Tamandua tetradactyla: one gene and its partner. The main gene of each other region encodes a partner of the protein of the gene in region 2 in a complex. Links are inferred from orthologs where the notes say so. Each region holds a gene or a part of one and is shown on either strand. Other genes may lie near its edges. The genes, in order: nucleoside diphosphate kinase A and ANP32A.

Region 1 (9,128 bases), on a different chromosome or scaffold from region 2:
CCTCTTTGTTAAATTTGGGAAGTTTTCAGCAATTATTTCTTTGAATATTCTCCCTGCCCCTTTTTCTCGATCTTTTCTTTCTGGGACCCCCACAATGTGTATACTGGTATGCTTGATGGTATCCTACAGGTACCTCATGCTCTGTTCACTCTTCTTCATTCTTCCCTCTTTCTGTGCCTCAGACTGCCTGATTTCAATTGTTTTACTTTTCAGTTCACTGATTCCTTCTTCTTCTAGCTCCAATATGTTGTTGAGCCCCTCTAAGGAAATTTGAATTTCTGTTACTGTGGTTTTCAGCTCTGTTTGGTTCCTTTTCATAATTTCCATCTCTCTATTGATAGTCTCTTTCTGTTGTTTTCAGGATTTCCTTTAGTTCTTTGTCCATGTTTTCCTTATCTCTTTGAGCATATTTAGGACCATTTTTTTTAAGTCTTTGTCTGGAATGCTCCGGGACTGAATCTCCTCATTGATGTTTTTTAATCGCCTTAACCTTCACCTTTGCCTGGGCCATTGTTTCTTGCTTCTTTATATGTTTTCTAACCTTTTGTTGAAACCTGAAAATATTTTGATACTTTTGTGTGTTATTAATAGAATGTAGTCTCTAAGGCATCTGCTCCTTAAGCTTGTATCCAGTTAGTTTTAAGACGAGGCTTTACTTGAATGCCAGTCACTGAGAAGAAAGGAGAAGGAGAAAGAGAAGGAGAAAGGGAGGAAGAGCAAAGAAGGAAGGGAGGAAGAAGGAAAAAAAAGAAAGCACCTTTCCAGGCTTTGTAGATTGATTTGTGTGAGTGTTCCATGCCAAAGCAGAGTGGCTACTCCAATTCTTTCTGCACATGTGTCTTGGCTTGGGCATGTACATGTGGCCCTAGGAATTCCCCATTTTTATGGATATGATGTCCCCTGTTCTCTAGGAAACAGTTTCCTCATGGTCCTGAGCACTAAACTGTATGTCCTGCAACCAGCAATCCTTTGCCTTAGGCACCACAGTTTAACTGCTCTCCCACAGTGTTGTGTAGGAGTATTCTATGAGCTGCCTTCTACACACAGGGCAAGCTCTGATACAGTGAGTTCCTCAGACCACACCAGATAGATTTGCCAGACACATACATGTTCCCAGTATGTGCATAAGGTTATTCTACTCCTTCTGGAACCAGGACTGGGGATCCATACTAGGTGCATGGTCTGTCTCCATGCCAAGCCAGTGAGAGGTTTGGGGAGGCGTCAGCCAGGGCTTGAAGAAATCCTACATCTTTTAAGTAGCCTTTTCTTGATTTGCCCCTCGCCCCGTTAATACAATCCTTTAACTGTTTTCTGGAGCTTTTAGAAAGATGTTTCTGCCGGTTCATGCTGGTTGTTCAAAGCTTCCAAGGGGGATGGAGCCCTGAAGTGTCTCACTCTCTTATCTTGATTGGGGCCTTCAATGGTCTTTTGAGTTCTAGAATTTTAACATTTTCTGATAAGCCACTGTCTTATCCTCCAAAACTTCAATGGCTTTCCACTAACTATAGCCCAAAGTCTAAATTTTTTAGATTAGCATTCAAGGCTTGTCACTAATCTGGTGACCTTTTCCCCTGTTTTTCCATGGGAGAGTCTATTAGGAATATCTAATCAGTTTCTCAGAAATTTCTTACTTTTTCCTTCTTGCATCCTTTGCTTTTGGCTATATTCCTAATCCCCCAATTCCTACAGATATATCTACTTACTACTTTTTTTCTGGGTATCTGAATCCAATCTCTTCTATAAAATGTTTCCACCACCCCATCAAGGCAACCTAGCAACCTCTCTTTTTCTGCCCACAATACTTGATATTATTAGTTCAGTTCACTAAACTTCACCTCTATTATTATTTTGGGCTGTGGATACATTTAATTAAAGAGTTATTTAGCAGGGGGTGGAAGGCCAGTGCAAAGGAGTGAATTACTACTGCCTTAGGTATAAATTTCCACTGTCAGTGATTTCAAGAGGAGGCTGGCTGATTCCTTGTCAGGGTTTCTGAAGAGGTGATTTGTCACAAATTATTTAAGATTCCTTTTAACTTGAAATTCTATAAAGACATAGTTTTCTTTTCTTTTTTGGGGGGGGGTGGGTGGGTGCATGGGCCAAGAATCAAACCCAGGGCTCCTGCATGGCAGGTGAGTATTCTACCACTGAACCACCTGTGTATACTAAGACATAGTTTTCTGATTTGGTTCACAGAAACATTTACCTGTGGAAGCTCAGAGGGCTGTTGTAGGATTGGGAAAGGACGGTCAGGGTGGAGTCATGTATTCAGGATGGCTTCCAGGAACAGATGAGATCTTCCTATTTTCCACTCCCTATACCTCTTCCTCAGTATCTGCCTGGGCAAGAACCTCTTCGACTAATAAGGCTTAAATTATCAATTTAAATGAATCTGTCTCTAGGACATGGTCTTATAGAATCTACCAATCAGTAGCATTGGAATCATTTGGGAACTTATTAGATATGCAAACTCTCAGACTCACTGAATCAGAATCTGTATTTTAACAACTCCCCAGGTGATTTCTTCTTCTTCTTCTTCTTCTTTTTTTTTTTTTGCATGGGCACGCACAAGGAATTTAACCCGGGTCCTCGGCATGGCAGGCAAAAACTCGGCCTGCTGAGCCACCGTGGCCCGCCCTCCTAGGTGATTTCTTTATACATAAAACTTTTAGAAACATTACTATAGTGGACTGCAACCACTGAAAAGGATTTTGTAAATAATTGTATTGAACTGACATTTTATGCACCCTCTCCAAAAAAAAAAAAAAAAAAAAAGAAAGAAAGAAAGAAAGAAAAAGAAAAGAAACCTGGGATTCTTCATCTAGTTATCTTTTTCTCATACCCCACATCCTATCCATCAGCAAGACCTATGGGCTCCATCTTAATATATTTCCTGTAACTAACCACTTGTTTGCATCTCCTTTGTCACCACCTATTGCAAATCATGATTATCTCTTACTTGGATTACTACTGTATTCCCAAACTGGTTTGTTTTTGTTGTTGTTGTTTCATTTAACATTAAAAAAAAAATCTTGAAATAATTGCAGATTCAAACCAAGTTCCAATAAATGGACAGGGTAATCCTGTGTACCTTCCTTTAGTTTCCCCCAGCGGAAAAATCTTGAATAACTATAGTGTAATATTAAAACCAAGAAACTGACATTGGTACAATCCACTGAATTCATTCATATCTCACCAGTTGTACATACTCATTTGTCTAGTTCTATGCAACTTTATCACATGTGTAGATTCATATAACTGCAACCACAATCAAGATACAGAACTCTTCCATTATCACAAGTCTCTCATACTGCTCCTTTATAGCCACATTCATACCCTGTACCCTGCCATCTCTAATTCCCGGCAAACATAATTTGTTCTCCATTTCTCTAATTTTATTTCAAGGATGCTATATAAATGGAATCATACTGTATACAACCTTTTTGACACTGCCTTATCTTTTTTTCCACTTAGCATAATTCTCTTTAGATCCATTGAAGTTGTTTTATATATCAACTGTTTTTTTTTTAATGGCTGAGTATTTCATGGTCTGGATGTACCATGGTTTGTTCAACTATTCACCAAGTAAAGACCACCTGTTCTGTTCCTAATTTTTGACTAATGCAAATAAAGCTGCTACGAACATTTGTGTTCAGTGTGATTGTGTTCATTTTTGGTGTGAACAGAACATAAGTTTTCAATTCTGTTCAAGAATGCCATTGCTGGGTGATGCTGTAAATTCGTGTTTGGTTTTACAAGAAACGGCAAGACTGTTTTCAAGAGCGGCTATATAATTTAAAATTCCTATCAGCAATGCATTGTGGGTGATTCAGGTTTTCTGCATCCTTGGCGGCATTTAGTGTTGTTACTAAATTTTCATTTTAGCCATTTGACAGTGTATAGTGATACCTCATTGTGGTTTTAATTTGCATTGCCCTAATGGCAAATGATGTCTAACATCTCTTCATGTACTTACTTGCCATCTGTATATCCTCTTCAACGAAATGACCTGTCTTTTGCCTACTTTCTAATTTTTTTTTAACTGTTGAGTTTTGAAAGTTCTTTATATAGTCTAGGTATAGGTCCATTATTAGATATGTGGTTTGCAAATATTTTCTCCCACTCTAACTTGTCTTTTCATCCTTCTCACAAAGTCTTTCCCAAGGCAAAAGCTTTTAATTTCGATGAATCTAATTTATTAACTGTTTTCTTTTATGGATTTGGCATTTGTTGTCAAATCTAAACATTCTTCCTTTAGCCCTCAGCTCGGAAGATTTTCTTCTTTTTTTCCTAGACATTTTATAGTTTAAAATTTTATGATCTGCTTTGAGTGAATTTTATATAAACTGTGAGGTCTAGGTCAAGGTTTTTTTTGCCTGTAGATGTCCAATGGCTCCAGTATCATTTGGTGAAAAGTCTCTTGATTCCACTTTTGTCCCATCTCTTCATCCATTCCCCTCACGGCAGTCAGAATGATTTTTAAAAAATAAGATGATGTCATTCTCTGTTCCAAACCCTACAATGACTTCCTACCACAATCTGGCCCCTCTCCAATGGGATGCCTACCGCTGGATGTCTTCAGTCATCTGGAATGCTCCCCCACTTCATTCAGGTCTAGTCTATTATTACTGTCAGTTCCTCAGAGATTTCCTCGACTAGACTTTTTCTTTTCCAACTAGACTTTGAATGTAGCCTTCCTCTTTAACTTTTTCCCCTTGCCTTGTTCTTTATAGCACTTACATAAAACGTTATTATACTACATATCAATTTATTGCTTATTGCTTGCCCCCCTTCTCCCCAAAACCCCACCAGAAACCCCAAGAGTTTACTGCTATATCCCCAGGGCCTAGAATACTGCCTAGAACATGGTAGGTACTCAATTATTTATTGCATGACTTGCTGAAAAAAGGATTGAATAAATATGAGGGAGCAGTACGTCAAATTTATGTAAGACGCTCCTTCAGACTTCGTGAATGGTCTGAGCGCCACCTCTCGGCGGTACCAGTTTGCTTAAAAAAACAAAACAAAACAAAAACGAGGCCGCCTGCCGGAAGAGCACGAAACTAGTGCCGGAAATTAAACATCGGAAGTTTGCGCCCTAGAATGACATCCTACCCATAGAAGGAAGCGTGGACGAATGGTGTCTTCTAAAATGGGACCTTCCCTGCCAGACCTCAGCAGAAGCGTTCCGTGTCCGTCAGTGCTGGGAACCACGTGGGGCCGGGGCGGGTTTCCGGTGTCTGTGGCAGCAGCCAGAGTTGAAGGCCAAGCAGCTGGAGGGGTAAGAGGGGTTCCGGATCTGGAATAGCAAGAAGAATGGGGTCCGGGATGAAGAGGGCGTTTGACGTTCGCCCTGAGAGGCGGGGGGGCGGGGGGGGGGGGAGGTGTGTGTGAGATGGAAGGGAAGGGATGAGGACCCTTTGTCAGCAGGTGCAAACCTGTCAGTGCACCTCCCACGCCACGTGGACTCGCCTTTGTACGTGGCTGCCTTTCACACCGGGCCGCGAGGTCTGGGGTTGTGCTTTATTTGACTCTCTCAAGAACAGTGCCTGGCCAATAGTTGGCGCGGGGTTTGTTGAGTGAATCACAGTGTTTGTGTAGCGGGGTTTGGAGAGGGACATTTGTAGGAGTGATTTCTGTTTTTTTTTTTAGCCCCATTTTCTCCTGGCAAAGCCTTGCTTTCATCTGGGGTTCTCCAGATAGCCTTTGAGGTTTGGTATCTCTTTTTTCGAGGGGAGGGGAGATAATAATTTAAGACGTTTTGTTCGCTTTTCCTGAGTGCTAGGCCATGTGGCTAGGTATTGGAAATTCGCACAGAATTAAACCAGCCCTCTCTGCAGGTCACAGACCAGACATTTATGCAGAAAATTCAAATACAATGTTAAGGTGCTGTGATAGGCCGTAAGTAAAGTATGAAGGCCAAGAGTCAGGAGGTGGCTGCTCTCCACATCAAGGATTGTCTTCCAAGATGAGGGGCCTTTCTCATTGTGTTGACACAGAGCAGGTCATGAGCTGATTCTCCTCTGTAAAAGGAAGAATCGAGATTAGATGCTCTCTAGACTCCTTTCCAGCACAGTAATCTGTGAAATTACAATCTCATATCAGATATTACTAATGACTGTAATTCTTCCTCCATCTATTGTTTATCCGCTAGTCAGAATATTCACTGCATCTTAGGGTATAGCATAAGTTGCATAGGGTTGGGGTTGGGAAACAGGTTGGACCCATTTCCTCATTTGTAAAATGAAGGGGTTGTAATGAAACAATCTAGAAAACTCCTTCCAGTTCTAATACCATGGCTGTGGCACTGGGTCAAACCTTGTTTCTTACTGTCTTGTTACCCTATGTCATTTTCACATGTAGTTTTCCCCATCTGGATTATTGAGAAAGAGGATGTCTTAGTTTTACACCCCTATCTTAGTCTGTCACTGTATTGGGTATACAGTAGGTACTTAAAACTTACTGAGGGAGCCTGGTGCCACTGCCACCCCGCGACGACCACCACCGCCCCCTGTCCTGCAGCCACTGCCTGTTTCGCCGCCGCCTTGGAACCAGCTGTATGATTAGGCCACAATCTTCAATGAGTAAACATATTCCTCAGTTCTGTGGTGTTCTTGGTCACACATTTGTGGAGTTTCTGAAGGGCAGCGGAGATTACTGCCAGGCACAGCACGACCTCTATGCAGACAAGTGAACTGTAGAACTCATTAGTACTCCACCAAGAAACCCCCATAAGAGTGGTTAACCTGGACACAGAAGTGTTGAATTGAAATCTGCAGAGCATTTTACAAGAGTTCTGATCTGGATGGGGTAAACCTCAGTGCACTACTTTAAATTGCCTCAGTATTACTGGATTGAAGAATCGCTGCTTCTTGTTAGGAGGTCCATTTCATTTCCCATTCCTCGCAACTTCATACTCAAAGCACTGAGAATTTCAAGTGGAGTATATTGAAGTAGACTTCAGTTTCTTTACATCGTTTCTGTATTCAATTTTTAAAATTTTTTCATAGCCCTTTGAGTGTTTTTAACTAAATTAACATGGCTCGAATGAACCGCCCAGCTCCTGTGGAAGTCACATACAAGAACATGAGATTTCTTATTACACACAATCCGACCAATGCAACCTTAAGCAAATTTGTAGAGGAACTTAAGAAGTATGGCGTTAGCACAATAGTGAGAGTATGTTAAGCAACTTATGACACTGCTCTTGTGGAGAAAGAAGGCATCCATGTTCTTGATTGGCCTTTTGATGATGGTGCACCACCATCCAACCAGATTGTTGATGATTGGTTAAGTCTTGTAAAAATTAAGTTTCGTGAAGAACCTGGTGGCTGCATTGCTGTTCATTGTGTTGGAGGTCTTGGGAGAGCTCCAGTGCTTGTTGCCCTAGCATTGATTGAAGGTGGAATGAAATATGAAGATGCAGTACAGTTCATAAGACAAAAGCGGCGTGGAGCTTTTAACAGCAAGCAGCTTTTGTATTTGGAGAAATATCGTCCTAAGATGTGGCTGCGCTTCAAAGACTCCAGTGGTCACAGAAACAACTGTTGCATTCAATAAAACTGGGGTGCCTGATGCCATTGCCTTGGAAGTGGAACTTGAGAGAGGAAGAACCTAATTTGTCGTACATATTAGCCACCATGTCGGTGAATAAGTCCAGTTGAAGCTTCCATAGGAGTATTGAAAAGCAGTTTTACCATGCTACAAGTTTGACAGAATTGCAGCCTCTATGTTTAGGTTACAATCAGCTTGTTTGGACACTTAGCAAAAGATTTCTTGCTGGTCAGCATTTAAAATGGGCTTATCATTTGTGACAGTTGACCTTTCCTGAAATCATGCAGTATTGAGTTATAAGTCCTCTTTTAAGTCTCTTATGCCACAATCTTATCAATATATAAGAAATTTAGAGAGATTAGCTGCCAAAATACCCAGCACAATACTTGTATATTTTTAGTATCATTCAGAATTTAAAATCCCAGGAACTATGAACACTCTAGACCTTATGTGGTTTATTCCTTCAGTCATTTCAAACATTGAAAGTAGGTCTGTTTGGTTATCTGCCTGGTCACTTTATGTTTACATCTCCCACATTCATACCAGTATACATCAGGTTTGCACAGCCATTGAATTTTGTTAGATTTTTACCAAGTCTTACGGTGATTATTTAATGTCTATAACTCATTTTGTGATGTTAGAGAAAACCTCCATTTTGAAAATTGACATTGTACAGAAGCACATGTCTTTAATGTCTCCAGACAAAAAAGCATTACAGTTAATTTGATGATTGCACTTTAGGGTGCAACTTAACCAGGAGGGCCTGACAAATAAATGGGAGGGGGCTATTAAATATTTTTAGTAAAGTGTTGCTTTTGTCTTGTGCGGAACATGTAGAATATGCTCTTTAATTTAGTAAATATTTTTTAAAGGTAGACATGCTTTGTGAGGGTAGCTACAATAATTCTTAATCAAAATTTCTGAAATTCTTGTAATTTTTTTCCATATCTATTGAAGGTTGTTTACCAACTATTTTTGTTCGAAGTGTGATTTTTATTTTTATTTTTTCCCCAACCTCTTGCAAAAAAAGAAGTAGGTTTCTGCTGATTCAGCAGACATCTAATATATGCCTTTTGAGCTGTGTAACTTAATATTTGGATACTTGATAATTTGTTTTATTATGTAACTGATAAATGGTGATGTGTATTAATGTTAGTTTAACCATATATTTATACTGTCTGGGAATGTGTGGCTATAGTTCTGTGGGAGAAATAATTTGTCAGTGTTCACCAGCTTGTAAAAACTTAGTGCGAAAGCTTAAACATCTAAATAAATGATGAAATGCAAAAAAAAAAAAACAAAAACAAAAAACAAAAAAAAAACTTACTGAGTTAAATGGGATAGAAATTGTAGCCCCTGTGTTGTACCCTTCCCCATTTTGGAAGATTAGTTCATGGATTAGGGGATTGGTTTTCTACCAGAGAGACTTGGAGTTGACATGACAGATTTAAACCAGCTTCATGGGGTAATCCTCTTGAGAAGGATAATGATGTGGACAGGATAGTCAGTGCTGTTCCTTTTCCCCATCTGCTTTTTCCCAGGACCATGGCCAACACCGAGCGTACATTCATTGC
Region 2 (9,084 bases):
AAGGGAAGGCAGAAGTAGTGGAAACGGTGACAGAGAGCCCTCCTTTGTGGGTATGGAGACAGAGCTTTTCTGGTTCTTCTGGATCACTGTTCTGCCAATGATCAAAGGACAGTTCACCTATCCTGGTCTTTCTGCCTTCAGCACTATTGAGGAGAAAAGGAGGGTCGGGTTGCAGAGTTGCCAAACCAGGAAGCCACTTCAGACAGGAGCTTTTGCTGGACTGGAGGAGACAAATCCAACAGGCTCTGTTGCTATGCCCAGGAAGGTGGTTTTATTCCAACCCTAATGCCACATTCTCCCCCAAACCCCATTTAAAACGAAAACACCAGTCCCACAGCTCCCTACCAGGACTGGCCACTATGTTGTTGAGGACCTCTGGGCCTAGGACTCAACACTATCAGATCTCCCCTGACTCCAGTGCCTTTTTTATGACCCCAACCTAACCATCCCAGCTACCTACTTCTGATCCTCACCGCCCCACTTCCTTTTGCCTCCACGAGTCCCTGACCTGCTGCCTGCTGACAGTTTCCCAGATTCACACACATGCTCGCTCTCACCAGCTCCTGACATCAGGCAAAGCCTGCCCACCTGATGCTGGCATTCATCACCAAGGTCACCCATTGGCCTGCTCCACGACGGGCAGCAGACCAGGACTCTTCTTCCTCTCCAGACCAGCACTGTCCAATAGAACATCCAGCAATTTGGGCAATGTTCCTCACTGTCTAAGAGAGTAGCCACTAGCTACATGTGGCTTCTGAGCACTCAAAATGTGGCTAGTGTGACCGATGAACTGAATTTTAAATTCAATTTTAATTAAGTATTAAGAATTATATAGAACAACACAACTTTAATTTTGCTCTTCGGGGTCCTGAGCAAAGAAGTGGGAGGCAAAAATGGAAATCAAGCCACAAACCTAAGGTTGGCCCATGACATGCTGAGGTTGGCAAAGCCTAAAAGGCCTTTGGCAGTACCTCTGACCTCTTATCCCTCTCCAACTCCCTAGAGGTAGTTTTGCCTTATTAGAGTCCTTATGTTCTCCCTTCTCCTCTTACCACAAATTTGAGTCTTAAAACCCTTTATTTCTTGAAGCTGAATGTGAGAATGACAGGCACAAATGAGATCAGAAGGAAAGACAGACGATAAAGACTAAGATGGTATAATCTAGGAATGCCTAGAGTGTACAATGATAGTGACCAAATGTACAAATTATAAAATGTTTTTGCATGAGGAAGAACAAAGGAACGTCAGTATTGCAGGGTGCTGAAAACATGGTAATTCATATTTTAAAAACTTTAATTTATGTGAGACTAAAGCAAAACAATGTTTATTTGGTAAAAAATTTATAATTTGACTAGTGCATTTCCTAATATAAATTGTGTGGACAGTTTAATTGAATACCACAAGTACATGGAACCTTGAGTAGGGCATGAGAGTTTGTAGGTTTGTCCAGAGTGATGCCCCGATGAATCCCAGAGTGATTTGATCAGTGAGTGGAAAAGTATTTGCAAAGTCCCCTTCAGGGAATGGTGAGAATGGGGAGAAATGCAACTTTCCCAAGTTGAATTCTTGATATTCTCACAAGCAGTGTGGACAACCAAAGCTACAGGCTGAGCCCCCAATCTTGGGGTTTGCTCATATGAAACTTAACCCCACAAAGGATAGGTCAAGCCTACTTAAAATTTAGGCCTAAGAGTCACCCCCAAGAGAACCTCTTTTGTTGCTCAGATGTGGCCTCTCTCTCAGTCAGCAGGACAAGCAAACTCACTGCCCCCCCCCCCCCAACGTGGGACATGACTACCAGGGGTGTGGACCTTCCTGGCAATGTGGGACAGAAATCCTAGAATGAGCTGGGACTCAGCATCAAGGGATTGAGAAAACCTTCTTGACCTAAATGGGGAAGAGTGAAATGAGACAAAATAAAGTGTCAATGGCTGAGAGATTTCAAACAGAGTTGAGAGGTTATCCCGGAGGTTGTTCTTACGCATTATTTAGATATCACCTTTTTAGTTATGTTATATTGGAGAGGTTGAAGGGAAGTGCCTGAAAATGCAGAGCTGTGTTCCAGTAGCCATGTTTCTTGAAGATGATTGTATAATGATACAGCTTTCTCAATGTGACTGTGTGATTGTGAAAACCTTGTGTCTCATGCTCCTTTTATCTACGGTATGGACAAATAAGTAAAACATAGGGATTAAAAATAAATAAATAATAGGTGGAACAAATGTTAAATTTAGTAAATTGAACTGCTAGTGATTAATGAAAGGGAATGGTAATGGGAATAGAAAAAAATAGGGGAAACAAAGGCTAAAATATATTGGGTAGATGGAAATATTAGTAGTCCAATGAGAGGGAAAGGTAAAGGGTATGTTATGTATGAGTTTTGTTCTCTTTTCTTTTTCTGAATTAATGCAAATGTTCTAAGAAATGATCACAGTGATGATACTTTGAGTTTTTGACTATATACCAAGAATGGAATGATCATATGCTAATAATGTTCACATTTGTATGTTATGTTTAAAAAAATTAAAAACAAAAACAACTTTTATTTCTAAGGAGACAGAAGGAGGCTTTTAGAAGTAGATTTGTCTTAAATGCAGGAATAGAGTTGCAAGTGAAATTCCAGGCTCTAGTAAAGATGGTAGGAAGATCATCTGAGAGAAAGTAATTAAGTCTCAGGCATGAAATAAACCAGGGCTGAAAAGCTCCTTAAAGGTGATCCCTCAGGGCTGTATCTGATACTCAAAACCCCCTATAATACCCAGCCCAGGATCACAGCCATCCTCACCTTTCTACTACCTGCAGCCTGCCAGGAAACATTTACTGATGTCTCCTGGGACTTCCAGACTTCCATCCACAGGTCCTGATTTTTCACCAATAGCTCACATGGAACAGGTTTGTCCTCAATAGTAGCCCTCCAATTGTCTGAAGTCTTTTCTTCTCTTAGACAGGCAGATGGACATTCAACCCAGCCCTTGTCTAGGGCAGTTCCTTCCCTCCCACCCTCCACAGTGCCCCAGGCTCTGAGCAGGCCAGTTTGTCTAGCTTCCAAAGGGTCCAAGATGACCACAGCTTGTCACAGTCCTCCAGGTGGGGTAGAAAGAATAGTGTCTCCCTCCTACTCAGGCATCTCTGAGCCAAGCGGAAACTTGGAAGAAGAGCTGGGGACAGGATACCCAGCCTCCCCTTGGTCCATCCCTGCCAGCAGGGGACCCCTGAGGGCACACCTGCATCTGAGTCCTGCAGGGGCCCACAGCTACTCTGTTTCCAATTTTTCCTCAGAACAGAGGCAGAGCACCCTGTCTCAGCCAGCAGCAGTTTTTAGGTTTGATCTGGCATAGATCACAGAGGATAAAACCCAGGGAATGGCAGCTCTTTCCCAGAGATACCCTGGCCACCAAGGCCCACCTTTCTGAAATTGGTTCTGAGATGAAATAAGTTAAGTTCCTTTCTTACCCTCCTCAAGCCCCAGGAGAGGCTAGATGGCCAGGTCAAACCACCTTCTCAAAGTTGTTGGCCAAGAGTGCCTGGGAATAAATTCTGTGAGGCCTTCTGCTCTCGGACAGGAAAACAATACAGAGTCAGGAAGCCAGGCTGTAGGAGATCAGAGCGAACATACAGAAATCAACTATATTGAGGGAGGGAGGGGGAACCATCGCTTTCATTTGCAGTAAACACTGGAGTCACAAGGTCTAAAAAAGAAGTTAATAAAGAAGACTAAACAGTCTTCTTTAGTAACTGGCTTCCTTGGAAGGCCCTGGGAATTCTTTTAAGCTCCCACAAAGAAAGACAAATATGAAAAGGGATTCCAGTCCACCCTCAAAGATTTCAGACGTGGTTTTGCTAGATGGGTCAAGGGCTTCTCCTCTTACTGCCATTAACCAAGGAGAGGAGAGCCTCAGAAATGGGGGAAGGGAGTGCTGGGGAGTCAGGGAATTCCTCCTGGAAGTTGGCCTCTTTCCCAGAGAGGCACAATACTGCCTGCCACTCCTGCTGGCAGCCTAGGAATACTACAGACACAGGGCAGGGTTTCAAAGCTCAGACCAGGATACTTCCCAGCTCCCAACACCACACCCAAACTCGGGGACAGTACACAAGCCACTGCCATTACTAACTTTATTACTAATAATCCCAGAATCTTTCTTGAGCCTTTTCAGGCACACTCTAGGTATATCACATGCATTATATTGGGGTAGTCTCCTCATCTTATACTCACAGCAGAACTACCTATCTGAAAGTCCCAATTAATATGGTTGAATGAGACACTTCAGGGCTCTGTTCCCCCACAGAAGCTTTGAACGACCAGCAACAACTGGCAAAAATAATCTTTCTTAAGTTCTAGAAAACAGTTAAACGACTGCAGTAACAGGTCAAGAACCGAACCAAACCAAGAAAAAGACAAATTAAAAGTAACAGGATCTTTCGAAGCTCTGGCTGGTCAACCTGCACTCCCAGTGTGAGCTCTGGGCCTGGTTACAGAAGGAGCAAAGTAACCCTCTTTGACATACGGGGAACATGTATGTCTGGCCTGACCTATCCGGTGGTGACTTGAGGGATTTGCTGTCCCAGAACTTGGCTTGCATGTAGAGGAGGCAGTTCACTGAGGTCTCCTACAAAGCATTGTGGGAGAGCAGTCAAGCCGTGCTGCCTGGAGCAAGGGGTTGCTGGCTGTAGGACAAACAGTACTGTGCCCAGAATGGTGAGAAAACAGTTTTCTAGGGATGAGGGGACACGTGGAACCGCATACATGAGGGAATTTCTAGGGCCGTGAGCACATGCCCAAGGTAAGAGGCCCGTAGGAAAAGATCAAGGAAGCCCCAGGCTTTGGCTTGGAGCTATTCTCCAAATTGACTGTGCAGATAAGCTCTGAAGGGCAGCACTTGCATAGATCAATCTGCTAAGACTGGGAAAGGTGTTTCCTTTTTTACTGTTAATTCCTGGCATTCAAAGAAAGCACTATCAGAATACTAGCTTGATAAAAGCTTAAGGAATTGGGGACTCAAAATCTAAATTTCAAGATAGCACACTAAAATATCAAAATAGCCAGGTTTCACAAAAGACTGTAAAACATACAAAAGATACAGGAAGAGATGGCACAGACAAGAGAGAAAATTAAAGCCTTAGAAACCATCAATGAGGAGAACCAGATCTGAGATGTATCAGTCAGATTTTTAAAAATCAGTCCCAAATATACTCAGGATGCTGAAGGAAAACATGGACAAAGAACTAAGGGAAATCAGGAAAAGGACAGATGAACATAAAGAGAACAGAGAGATGGAAATTATGAAAAGGAACCAAACAGAGCTGAAAAACCATAGTAACAGAAATGTAAGTTCCCAGGAAGGGTTCAACAGCTTATTGGAGCTCGCAGAAGAAAAAATCAGTGGGGCTTGAAGACAACAGAAATCATCCAGTCTGAGGAGGAGAAAAAAGAAAAAAATGAAGAAAAGTGAACAGAGCCTGAAGAACCTGTGGGACATCATCAAGCTTATCACCATTGTGGGGGTCCCAGAAAGAGAGGAAAGGGGCAGAGGGAATATTCAAAGAAATAATGGCTGAAAACTCCCCAAATTAAGCAAACACATGAATATACATATTCAGGATGTTCAATGAACTCCACACAGGATAAAACCAAATAGATCCATGCCTTGCCATGTTATAATCAAACTGCTGACTGCCAAGGATAAAGAGAGGATTCTTAAGACTACAAAAGAGAAGCTAAATGCCACATACAGGGGTGCCTCAATAAGATTCAAGTGCTGGTTTCTCTATGGAAACCAAGGAGGCAGGAAGGCACTGAAGACAGATTTAAAATGCTAAAAGCAAAAAAAAAAAAAAAAATCACCAAGCAAGAATTCTGTATCCAGCAAAACTGTCTTTCAACAATGAAGGAAATGTTGTGATATACTTTGAAATTTATTGCTTTTATGTATATATATGCTATTTAAAGAAGAGACGTATAACAGAGAAGAAAGGATTTAACAAATGAGTATGACTCCTGAATCATTATATTGATATTTCTGTTGGTCTCTAGTGTCTTAAGAGCAGCTACAAGAAAAAAAATAAAATAAAATTGTGGAACCATAACCAATACCAAACATGAAAATTTGTTCTATAAGTACTTGTTAAAATGTACTTGGAAATTTATTGCTTTTTTGTGTGTATGTTATATTTCACAATTTAAAGAAAATATTTAAAAAATGAAGGAGATTACATTTCTGAATACAGTTAAAAAGGGAGAAATTTTAGTTGGTATGTTACTAAAATAAAAAAAAATAAATAAAAAGAGGAAGGAACTAAGACACTCACAGACAAACAAGAACTGAGGGACATTGTAATCAGTTATCTGACCTTATAAGAAATGCTAAAGGGAGTTCTTCAGTTGAAAGGGAGGAACACTAGACACTGATTGAAGCCATAGGAAGAAATAAAGATCTCCAGTAAAGACAGTGAAATGAGTAAATATAAATACCCGCACTATCATATTTTAAATTTGAAACTCCACTTTTTGCTTCCCACAAATAATCAACGGTTTTGGATTTATAACGTATAAATATGTAATCTATGACAAGAATTACACAAAGGTGAGGTGATAGAGGGGTACAGGAACACAGTTTATATATGCTCTTAGAAGTTAAGGTGGTATCAAAGCAAATGAGGCTGCTAAAGATTTAAAATGTTATAAGCCCCATCATAACCACAAAAAAAAATCAGAAAACAGGGTAGAGGTTGTCAGAGGTGGGGAACAGGGGAAATGGGGAGTTAATGTAAAACGAGTGTAGAGTTTCTGTTTGCGGTGGAGGGAAAGTTCTAGTAATGGATGGTGGTGATTAAGTGAATAGTATCCTTGGGAGGGACTGGGATGGATAAATTTATGTTATATATATGTTTTCACATTTAAAAAAGAATTAAAAGCAATGTATGATACTGGATGGGATATAAGAATGGAGGAGAAAAGGTTCAAAAAGACATTATTGGGACACAAGAAAATACGAGAATGTAAAATGTAAGGTATATATCAATATTAAATTTCCTGAACTTGAAAACTGTACTTTGGGTAATTTCATAAATGAATATCCTTGTTTGTAAGAAATGTACATGGAATTATCACATATTTAAGCAGTATGATGTATGCAACCTACTCTCAAATGTTCAGACAACAGCTAGATAGATACAGGCAGACAGACAGGATAAATGGAAGATAGAAGGATATGTCAAAGGTGGCAAGATGTTAAAATGGTAGATCTGGGTATCTGGGGGCGTGGGGGTATGCTGGAGTTTTCTGTATGGGGTCTGTGTTATTTTTGTAACTATACTGTGCGTGAGTCTGATATTATTTTAAAATATGAAGTTTTGGTTGTTTTTTTTTTTTTTTAATAAGGTAGGAGTTGGGGTGAACCACTTATCCTAAAATCTCAGGACTTGACCCTAGAGGGGTACATACTAATCAAGGTGGTCAGTGTTGGCTTTAAAGATGAAATTTATAAAGAGACTGTTCAACTCAACAACAGTAAGACAGCCAACCCAATTACAAAATGGGCAAAAGACTTGAACAAACACTTCTCAGAAGAGGAAATACAAACGGCCAAAAGGCACATGAAGAGATGCTCAACTTCCCTGGCTATTAGAGAAATGCAAATCAAAACCACAATGAGATATCATCTCACACCCACCAGAATGGCCATTATCAATAAAACAGAAAAAAAAAAAAAAAAAAAAAAAAAGATGAAAAGGGCACAAACTCTCCCAGAACATCAACTCAAGTGTAGAAGTTCCCTTAACCACAACTGTTCCCTTTAACCCCTTTTCCAGCTGTCCCATTAGCTGGGTGGGCGCCACTTCTAGCAGTCCCAGATGTTACACAGTCCTTTGGTTACACTTCCTTGGTAACCAAAGGACAAAACCCAGCTGGGCCCTTGCTCAGATGATGCTGCAGTCAGAAAGCAAGAATCTGGAGGGACCCTGAAGCGTCTGGGAACCAAGCTCTCTCCTCCAGGAGCTGAAAAGATGTTCCCATTCACTTGAGAAACCCTATGGTTTCTGAAGGACCAGATGGCTGTTAATAGTCGAGGTAGTAGAGTCTCTGGAATGCCCACTGCATGTGTACTTCCTTCCTGGTAGGGGTTTCAGCACTGTTTGAGGTGAGATCAAAGAGAAAAGGGAGAGGTCAGGACTTTGATTTTGAGGTTGGTGAATATCACCAAAAAGCCTAAAGCCACATGGTGGGGAGCCCACGACTTCTTCTGCAAGGCAAGGCAGGATGGTGTGTTACACTGGGGACAGCAGGATAGGCTGCCTGTGAAGTGTCTAAACAAATCAAACAAGGCAAAGCAAAATCACCAGCTCAACAGTTGACCTGTGAATGTTACTTAGCCCATCCCCCACCTCCATGGAGAGTCTCAGGATAGGCTAACATGTTTCAAAACTTCTGACCCCAGAGATTTAAGATTCTTAACTCCTTCTGTTGCAATTCCAACCCCATTCCTCTCATCTGTACTGGGCAGCCTCTGCTCTAAAAACCTTCAAAATGAAAAGAACATACCTTTCACATCCAGGGTGTGTTCTGTTTAAAAAAGAAAGAAAAGGAAAAAAAAAAAAATTAAGGCCCATTTCCTTTGCCAAGTCCTGGGTGTGAGCTAAGTGCAAAGTTAAAGGAGTTAAAATTAAACTGAAAATTTGTACTTTGGGTTTAGAGTTACAATACTACTGGCCATTTAAAAATATCTGAATGTGGTTACTTTCTCTAGTCCAACAACTGGAATTACTCAGTATAAAGAACTTTCAATCCCCTAAAACAAACCTACACAGGATTGTATGCTTCATTCTTCAAATTTAACACTCAAGAGGACCCCTCATATTCATAATACTCAGTCCCCAAAAGATGTGACTGGGAAGGCAATGAAGATTCCAAAGAAATCAGATTGCGGGAAATGGAGTAGGTGGTAAAATGGCTGAGGGGCTCAGCAATGCCAGGGCCCCTGAATTTCCTGAAAAAACTTGATCCCAAGTAAGGGGACACATCAGTCATTTCTCAACAATGGGAGCTGAAATTCTGATTATAAACATGTATGTGTTACTAACTCTTAA

What was found.
Region 1: ANP32A (region 2) and nucleoside diphosphate kinase A share a complex: the UniProt entries of both Homo sapiens proteins name them as parts of the SET complex. The link is inferred for Tamandua tetradactyla from reciprocal best matches to the Homo sapiens genes ANP32A and NME1.

What each region holds. Positions count from the first base shown.
Region 1 is NC_135332.1:32,270,622-32,279,749, forward strand, and holds the start of nucleoside diphosphate kinase A, read left to right. Parts: upstream 1-5,153; 5' UTR 5,154-5,281; intron 5,282-6,920; exon of another isoform or gene 6,921-8,586; intron 8,587-9,095; 5' UTR 9,096-9,099; coding exon 9,100-9,128. UniProt on the Homo sapiens protein: Major role in the synthesis of nucleoside triphosphates other than ATP. The ATP gamma phosphate is transferred to the NDP beta phosphate via a ping-pong mechanism, using a phosphorylated active-site intermediate.
Region 2 is NC_135340.1:86,158,587-86,167,670, forward strand, and holds the start of ANP32A (acidic leucine-rich nuclear phosphoprotein 32 family member A), read right to left. Parts: upstream 3,758-9,084; 5' UTR 3,454-3,757; intron 2,940-3,453; 5' UTR 2,852-2,939; coding exon 2,786-2,851; intron 1-2,785. UniProt on the Homo sapiens protein: Multifunctional protein that is involved in the regulation of many processes including tumor suppression, apoptosis, cell cycle progression or transcription. Promotes apoptosis by favouring the activation of caspase-9/CASP9 and allowing apoptosome formation.